2 linked regions of the Oryctolagus cuniculus genome follow. The protein of the gene in region 1 interacts with the protein of each later gene in a biochemical or structural test. Links are inferred from orthologs where the notes say so. Each region holds a gene or a part of one and is shown in the gene's direction. Other genes may lie near its edges.

The links.
Region 2: the proteins of MAFG (region 1) and NFE2L1 form a complex in vitro, tested with the Homo sapiens proteins (2 studies listed by BioGRID and IntAct, with this or other methods). The link is inferred for Oryctolagus cuniculus from reciprocal best matches to the Homo sapiens genes MAFG and NFE2L1.

The regions. Positions count from the first base shown.
Region 1 is NC_091448.1:998,476-1,002,861, forward strand, and holds the start of MAFG (transcription factor MafG), read left to right. Parts: upstream 1-1,401; 5' UTR 1,402-1,599; intron 1,600-1,676; exon of another isoform or gene 1,677-1,921; intron 1,922-2,051; exon of another isoform or gene 2,052-2,516; intron 2,517-4,386. UniProt on the Homo sapiens protein: Since they lack a putative transactivation domain, the small Mafs behave as transcriptional repressors when they dimerize among themselves.
Region 2 is NC_091448.1:24,339,559-24,343,814, forward strand, and holds the start of NFE2L1 (endoplasmic reticulum membrane sensor NFE2L1), read left to right. Parts: upstream 1-1,249; 5' UTR 1,250-1,423; exon of another isoform or gene 1,424-1,486; intron 1,487-1,716; exon of another isoform or gene 1,717-1,976; intron 1,977-2,876; 5' UTR 2,877-3,357; coding exon 3,358-3,867; intron 3,868-4,256.

The DNA.
Region 1 (4,386 bases):
GGACCCTGTGTGGGGAGTCTGCCAGGGGGTTCTGGGACAGATGAGAGGACGTGCGTGGCTGGGCCCCCTGGGCCCTGGAGCTGCACCGGAGTCAGGTCCCGGCTGCCTGGGCCATTCCAGTGACAGGACACGAGCCCCCCACCCAGCACCGCACAGGACAGCTGGACCCCTGCACCCGAAGAGCTGCCCCCTCACAGGACAGAGCGTGGGCACCTGCCCCTCTCTTGTCTGCTCTCAGAACTGACCCCAGGGCCCAGGGCTTCTCTCTCTATAGGAAGCAGTCCCAGTACCTACGGCCCCCACTGGCCTCGCCCGTGGCCCCGGGTGGCCACACCCATGCCTGCCTGTTGCGGCTGCTGAGTGGGGGTGGGTGTGTGGGGGTGGGGAGTGGACGGACGTCCATCAGCAAAACTGAGTGGGAGATGAGATGAGTTTCCCAGGCATCTCCCACGCACTGGACGGCGGCAGGGGAGGGCGAGCTGCCTGGGTGGTCAGCAGTGATGGCCCCCGGCCCCAGGACCAGGCGTCCTGGTCCAGCGTCTCCCAGCACAGAGGAGCGAGGGCACACCCGGCTCTCCGTCACGACTAGCCCCCTGCCCTCGACCTCGGGCCTCAGACCAGCGGCCACGGAGCTCCGATTCCCACCGCGAACCCGGCTCAGGGCTGCCCCGCCCCCCGGAGCCTGGACCCAGCGTCCAGGAGGGGTGAGGAGCAAGCTCTGAGACCAGGGACGCACTCGTGGGGTGAGTCGCTGCGTTTTCTACGGAAAAACCCGAGGCTTTACAAGTCGCGCCGTCCCGCGTGGACACCCCACCCCGCCAGGAACCCCGCGCAGCCCCGCACAGCAGCTCCAGGTCCTCCTGTGGGCCCCTCCGCGGCGCCCTCACCTCCTCACCTGCCTGGCTGTGCACCTGAGCAGGGAACAGGGCCGAGAGCGCGCCCCCACCCCGCCGCGCGGCGACTTCCTGGGGGAACGATCGGCGGCGGGGGCGGACGCGGACCCGGGGGCCGGCTTCAGACAGGTGCCGGCGGCCCGGGGGACGGCCCGCGCCGTCCACTCCTGGCGGGCGCACCGCGGGGCCGGGACCTGGGCCCTGCACCCCCGGGGTCGGTCTGCACCCGGACCTCGGACTAGGGCCTCCCGCGCGCTCGCACCGCGCCGCGGCGGGGGCGTGGTCCGGCCAGGGCGCGCGCCCGGACAGTCCCGCGAGCCCCCGACGCGGCCCGGGCGCGGCGCGCGTTGCCAGGGGCGACGGCGCCCGGGCTGCGCAGGCGCAGGGCGACGCGCCCCGCCGCCGCCGCCGCCGCCGCCGCGCCTTCCCCTTTAAGCTCCGGCCGGCCGCGTCGCCGCTTCATGAATGGAGCCCACGTGACCAAACATCATGTGACGTCTGTGGAGCGGCGGCGGCGGCGGCGGCGGCGGATCCCGAGCCTGGTCCGGCCCGGCCTTCGCAGAGCGCTCGGCCCGGCGCGCGAGGCGGCGAGACCCCCCCCGAGCCACGGGCCCGGACCCCCGGCGCCCGCCCCAGCTCCGCGCGGCCTCGGAGCGCGCGCGGCTCCGCCCCGGCCCCGGCCTCGGCCCGCCGGGCCCGCAGTGTGGTGAGTGTGGCGGGCCGGGCGGCGGGGGCGGCGGCGGGGCCCGCGCCGGGGCGGGGCCGTGGCCTGGGCGCGCCGCGCGCCCTCCGGCGGGCCGGGCCTCGCCTTCCCCTGCCGTCGGGAGCCGGGCTGCGGCCCCGGCCGCGGGTGCCCGGGCGCACCGCCGGCGGCGCGGCGGCGCGGCGGCGCGGGCGGGGCGTGCGCGGAGCCCGCTCGGCGGAGGCCGGGACGTCCCGGGGCGAGGCGCGGCGGCGGCCGGGGGGAGGGCGGGGCCGGGCGCGGCCGGGGGCGCGGGGGCGCGGGGGCGCGGCCGCCGGCTCCTCAGGTGTGTGGCGGCCGCTGGCGGCGCGCGGGGCCCCGGCGGCCGGGCGGGGGCGGCGGGAAGACCCTGCCCGCGGGCCCGGGCTCGGCTCGCGTGCCAGCGCCGCGACCTGCTGAGTCATCAGCATGAGGTCACTCGGAGCTGCTGCTGGCGCGGGGACTGGGCGCGGGGCCTCGGGACTGGAGGGGCCGGCCCGTGGCGGGGGAGGCACACGTGAGGATGAGCGCGAGGCCGGCGTGGCCAGGCGGAGGCCGAGGCCGCGTTGCGGGCTTCCTGCGGGGCAGAAGTCGAGCCCCTGGCGAGATCGGCCCTGGGCCCACGTTCGGGGCAGTCCCCCAAACTGATAAACAGCTGGGGGTGACGGGAGGGGAGGGGTCTGGTGGGCCGAGCTGGCGGCTGGAAGCCCCTGGATGGGCAGCCCCTGGCGTCAGAAGAAAGAGGAGTGAGCGTGGGGCCGCAGGGGCGGCGGCGGGCAGGGAGCAGGCAGCAGGACTTCGCAGGGCAGCCAGCGCGCTGTCGCGGCCGGGTCCGCTGGCCCTGGGCTGGGGCGAGGCTGCACGCGACAGGAGCTCAGGATGCGTCCTTTGGGGTGCAGCAGGTGGGTTAGTGTGGACGCACAGGCGGGAGAATCGGGTCCCAGACACCCAGGGGTTGTCCCCGGCGAGGAGGGGTCCCAGCATGGAGTGTGCTGAGCCAGTGTGGTGTCTCCGCTGTCTGGACCGGCGGCTAAGAGGCCAAAGGGTGGTGTGGCCGCGGTGGGGGCTGGGGGCCAGGGAGGTGGACAGAGCTCACCTTCCCACTGCTTCCCTTGCCCTGGGTTCGTGGCCGTCGCGTGGTCGCACCCAGACACCGCGCAGCTTCCTCGGGGCTTCTCCGGCACGGGTGCTCTGGCGTGAATGGAGCCGCAGGACTCGGGTCGGGGTCGCAGAGCGTCGGGCGGCCTGCCTGGGACTTGTGGCCGCTGGGGTGTGCCGGGCAAGGGTGCCCAGGGGAGCTGGTCCTGGAGGAAGGGCCGGAGCTGCCCTTTCCTCTCCTAGCTCTCAGCTGAGTGGGTGGCCCAGGGTCCCCCGTGGGTCAGGCAGCAGGGGACAGCGGCTCTAGCTCTGAGCAGCCCTCAGGACGGAGAGGATGGGCTGGGGGGGCTTCCACTCAGTGCAGCCTCCGGGACCCCCCCTCTGGCTGGGACAGGTGCCCCGAGCCAGCCTTCTCCGCCATCCCCAGGGGCCGCCTCTGCCCGGAAGGCTGGAAGCGCCGGCTTTGCCGAGGCCCTCCCCCACGGCGTGGGTGCCTGCACACGCACACGCACACGCACACGCACACGCGTGCACACCTTTGATCGGAAGGCGCCTGGCTGCACTGTGCTGAGCTCAGGCCTTCTGCAGAGGGCGGAATCTGTTGAGGAGGCACTTTTCCCAGCCCAGCGCCGCGCTCGGCACTTTTCTGTGTGGTCCCCTCAGGAAGCCACCGCTGTCATTGTGCGGTCGTGGGGGGAGGGACACCCCCGTGCCCAGGCAGCAGTGAGGGCCCGTCTCCTGGTGGGCCGGGGCCGGCTTGCGGGCCTCCTGACCTCCAGCTGTGGGCACCCCATCCCCATCCTTCTTGGGGTCCCGCCTCCTGGCTCGGCCCCACCCTGCCTCCTGGCTGCAGCCTGCCTCCTGGCCAGGCCTGGCTCCTGTGGGGTCTCCACCCTGGGAACATGGGCCGCCTGGCCAGCCACACTGTGGTTCCCCGGGTGGGTGAGCCGGCCAGGAGACTGTGGCCTTTCTCCCCGTCCACCTGTTTACCTGCCTGCATCTAACCTGCAGAGCAGTGGGAGGGGCGGGCTCCGGGAGGGGTTCCTGGGGTGGGAGCTTCAGGTTCCTGGCAGGGGTTCAGAGAGCGGACAGTGCAGGGTGGTGCTCGAGGGGCAGCTGGCGGGGGAGCGGTCTGGGCACTGGGCTGTGGGTGCAGGCCCAGGCAGGGGACCACAGAGCAGTCAGTGACTGCCACCTGCCTGTCAGTGAGCAGGCCCCGGGGCCCTTGTGAAACACCCTGGCCAGGGTGGGGCAGGGGCGCAGGAAGCTGCAACCCAAAGCCACACGGTGGTTACTCCACGGGCCGGGAGGCGGCCAGAGCGGGCTGGAGGGGCCCTCGGGCCAGGCTCTCAGTCGGGTTGCCTGCTGCTTCCAAGGTGTGGGGCTCCCCAGCTCTTCCCGCCATGGGAGCCGGGGCCAGCTAGATGACTCGCTCCCAGCTGGAGGGCCCCGGGAAACTGGGAGACCCCTCACCCTGCTGTCTGCCCCAGTTCCCGGTGGGGACAGCAGGGGCTTTGTCCCGGGCTGGCGCAGGGGAGGCCGCTGTGGGAGGTAGGACCTTAGGATGCACAGGCAGGCGCCCCCACCTGCTATGGCCCCCCAGCCCCCCTGGCCCCAGCAGCGGGGCTCCTGGGCGGCTGTTGGCTGGCGGCCTCGGGAGTGCCGGCGGCGAGG
Region 2 (4,256 bases), about 23 Mb from region 1:
GCTAGGCGGAGGATTAGCCTAGTGAGCCGCGGCGCCGGCCAACATGGCAGTTCTTTCTCTTGCTCCCTCTGCCTTTCAAATACACAGAAAGGTCCTTTCATAATACCCACTATCCATGAGCTTCGGAAGCGAACAGTAAAAACCGCCACTCAGTGACTCCCTAAACCGGGTGTCAGGACCCAGGCAGCCACCGCAGTTAAATCAGAATCTCTCCAGAAAGGCCTTGGGACTTGCAAGCTGATGTGGGGGGTTGTAAATTAACGGGGCCAGCGCTGTGGCACAGTAGGCTAAGCCTCCGCCTGTGGCTCTGGCATCCCACAGCAGAAGATGGCCCAAGTCCTGGGGCTCCTACACCTGCGTGGGACACCTGGCGGAAGCTCCAGGCTTCTGGCTTCGGATCAGCTCAGCTCCAGGCATTGTGGTCAGTTGGGGAGTAAACCAGCACATGAAAGACCTCTCTCCCTCTCTTTCTCTGTGTACCTCTTTCAAATAAATAAATAAATATTAAACAACAACAACAACGTTGAGGAGTCACAAACATGTTTTTGAAATGTGGCTAGACTTCACTGGAGAACTCTGGAAATTGGACAAAGTTCTTGAGCAGCAAAACTAAGTTCTGAGATGTTTCTATCATGACAAAAATCGCTATTACACCACCGCTTCTTTCCACCAAGGTGGAGACCACCGGTCTCCCCGGCAGTCCCCACAGCACCCTTGCCTGGGCGGTACAACGCACCATCCCGCCTGCCCAGGTGGCTGAGCCCAGGCCTACACGGAAGGGGAGCCGGACGACCTGGTTCCGCTGCCAGCACTCAAGATGGCGGCAAGAGCGTCGCCGCCATATGAACCACATGCTCCGTGCCCCGTCTCGACCACCCTCGGGTCTCACTGGACTTTTGCAAGTCACCGTGGGCACCCTCGCGGGGAAAAATTCCGCGCCTGGGTGGCGATACTTCCTCCCGACCCCTGTCTCAGGCTCTCAGTTCCTCAACGCAGAATGCCCTAGAAGCGCACAGTTTGCAACACCACCCGCCGAGCAAACGCCGCGGGGTAGTCCAGAACGCCGGACCCTACGGCCTTTGCTCCACTCATTGGTGGGCCCAGGACGCGGGGCGGGCCTAGATATCCATTGGGCCGTGGGTCATGTCAGTCTTAGGAAAATGGGCCCAGAGAGGAGGAGACCCATTCAACTATTGGGTCCTCTCTGCTGTCAGTCAGAGCAACATCCGGCGGCGGCCGCGGTCTCTGCTAGTTGATTGGAGAAACTGTTTCTGATGGCCGTGGCGGGCGGGCTTCCGAGTGAGGTGGAAGGAGGGGGCGGGGAGGGAAGCGGAGGCTGGGGAGCTGTAGGCCGGCCGGCGGTGGCGGCGGCCTCGGACTCAGGCTGAGGGCCTGCTGTGGCGGACGCTGAACTCAGCAGCGGGTATCGGGCACATTCCTTTCCCTGAAGGGAGGGGCACAGCGCCCCGGGGCCGAGGCTTATGGGGTGAGGGGCGGCGGGATGTGGCTGAGGGGCAGGAGGCGGGAGCTGGGCGGCCGAGCCAGGTGTCTGGCGGGACTGGGGTCCTAGGCCTGTCGTGGACGGGCCGCGGCGCCCAGGAGAAAGCCGGCTCTGGGGTGGGATGGACTAGGGAGGGTCGAGGGCCCGAGAAGGCGTGGTGTGAGGCCCGGGTAGGGAGCGGGGTGGGGCCACAGGGCCGGAGGGCGGGGAGAGGTTTTCCTTTAAGGGTGGGTCAAGGCCAGCAAAGTAGCACTTGTTCGCTCGCCGCCCCAGAAGGCTCGAAGCCGAGGCGCCGAGAGTGGGCATGGCGACTTGGTCCCCGCCGGACTCGGGTACCCGGGACAGGGTGGGACCGGACTCTCGCCAGGGCCTCTGGCCCTCCCTCGAGATCTTTAAGGGACTTTGCCCGCTTTCTGGAACTTAATCGGCCCCTTGGAGAGTTCAGTGATAAATGGCGTGCGAATGGGAGAGTAGCGTAAGCAGGGATTCTGGGTCGCAGTTGTGTTTACTCTGAGCGGAGAGGGGCGTGTGTTGTGTGTGTGTCTGTAGCTCTCGCCTCCCCTTCAGCGTGAAGCGGGTGGATGGGGTAGAGGAGAGGGGGATGTCTTGGTTTATGAGATTAATGGAGACCAGAAACCGAAAGGCAGATTTAACCTTCTCCCCACTTGGCAGTCTGGGGTGAGGACTTGGCCATATCCTCAGCTTGGCTCAGAAGGTCATAGGAATAAAGATAAAACCTGCCTGTGCAGCCTCGGGATACCAAATTCTGGTGCCCCCCCCCCCCCTTATAATTGGAGGCTGATAGAAAAAAAATAGGATTTCTAAGTTGGGAAATGAAAGACGTTCTTTGGTGTGAAGGGGTGGCCCAAGTGTGGTCCGGTGTCTCACACTCTCACTTGTTAATAACCTCCCTCCCCTTTAGAACTGGAAGGGCAGAGGTTGTAGGTTGTAGGCAGTTTTCTCTCCGGGAGGAGAACTTTCCTTTAAGATAGGAAATGGTCTTCTCGTGCTGAAAATAGAAGCTGTAATGTGCCGGGGTGGGGGTGGGGGGAGTTGGTATATTAGACAAAGAATGATATTTGAGATATTTGGGTGCCACAGGCATCGCCTGCTTTTCCAAAGCAAGCCGCTTTTTAGGATATTTCAAATTTAATATCTTAGAACAGATCCTTTTGGGTCGGTACCCTCCTTTTTGGTGGCCGTTCTAACAGGTGGCTTTATTCTTTCTTTATTTTGCGAGAACACAAGTGATAAGTTTTCCTGTGGAAGTTCTTTTTCTTAATGTGTTGCCCGCCTTTCCCGTGAGCAGTCTCTTACCCTGCGATGGTGTGAAAAGTTCGGAGCCTCATCCTGTTGCTCTTGATTCCCATTTCAGGTTTCTCTGGAAACCCCCCTGGTAAGTGTGGCGGAGGCGGGACACTCTGACCCAAGACAAAAGGCCTGTAGCTCCAGCCAAAGAAAATAAACCTTAGGAGGCAGAAGGAAAAAAAAAAAAAAAAAGGCCATCAGCTGTTGCTGAGAACAGCGTGCAGTGGAGTCTACAGAGAGGCCGGCTGATGTGAGTGAGGAAGTCGCGTGGGCCCCGAGGCCTGGACTGGGTTAGGAGCCGTTTGCTCTCAGAGGTGAGGTGGCACGAAGGGAAAAGTGAATGTGGTCTGGAGTGTGGCCTTGGCTCCACGGGCTGTGCTGTCCTCTGCGGCCGTCGGGGAGCTCAGCCCCGGTGACCTGCCAGGGTGGGGTGCAGTGTTTGGCCCTGAGGAGGGAGACCTGCTGGCTGGAGCGCCAGAGCAGTGGCCTTGATTTGTCTTTTGGAAGATTTAAAAACCAAAAAGCATAAACATTCTGGTCCTTCAGCAATGCTTTCTCTGAAGAAATACTTAACGGAAGGACTTCTCCAGTTCACCATTCTGCTGAGTCTGATTGGGGTGCGGGTGGACGTGGATACTTACCTGACCTCGCAGCTTCCCCCGCTCCGGGAGATCATCCTGGGGCCCAGTTCTGCCTATACTCAGACCCAGTTCCACAACCTGAGGAATACCTTGGATGGCTATGGTATCCACCCCAAGAGCATAGACCTGGACAATTACTTCACTGCCCGGCGGCTCCTCAGTCAGGTGAGGGCCCTGGACAGGTTCCAGGTGCCAACCACTGAGGTAAACGCCTGGCTGGTTCACCGGGACCCAGAGGGGTCTGTCTCTGGCAGCCAGCCCAGCGCAGGCCTCGCCCTCGAGAGTTCCAGTGGCCTCCAGGATGTGACAGGCCCAGACAACGGGGTGCGAGAGAGCGAAACGGAGCAGGGATTCAGTGAAGATTTGGAGGATTTGGGGGCCGTGGCCCCTCCAGTCAGTGGAGACTTAACCAAAGAGGTTAGTGGCCCTGTGGTGAGTGGGTGGGGCCTGGGGCTGGGGGGTGGGCTGTTCCTGAAGGACTCTGGTCCTGGCATGGAGCTCTGTAAAGAACCAGACAGACTGGGGTGGGGGAAAAGTGGGGGTGGGGCAGGGAAGTCTTAGGGCATTGTTCATGGATGGGAATGGGCCGGATTGTCCAGCCTTAGGATTGGGGGCTGGGAGCATTTCCCTGTTTTGAACCATGGACCCACCTCTAAATGTACTGTCAGGGCAGTGGGAGGTTCCTAGGACATGCCAGGGTGTTTACTGCTTGGATTTCAACATGACTGCTGGAGGCCTGGGGTGGGGGAGGGAGTCATGTTGTGATGGGCTTTGATGCCGTGTATATCTGTTGCTAAGACACAAAT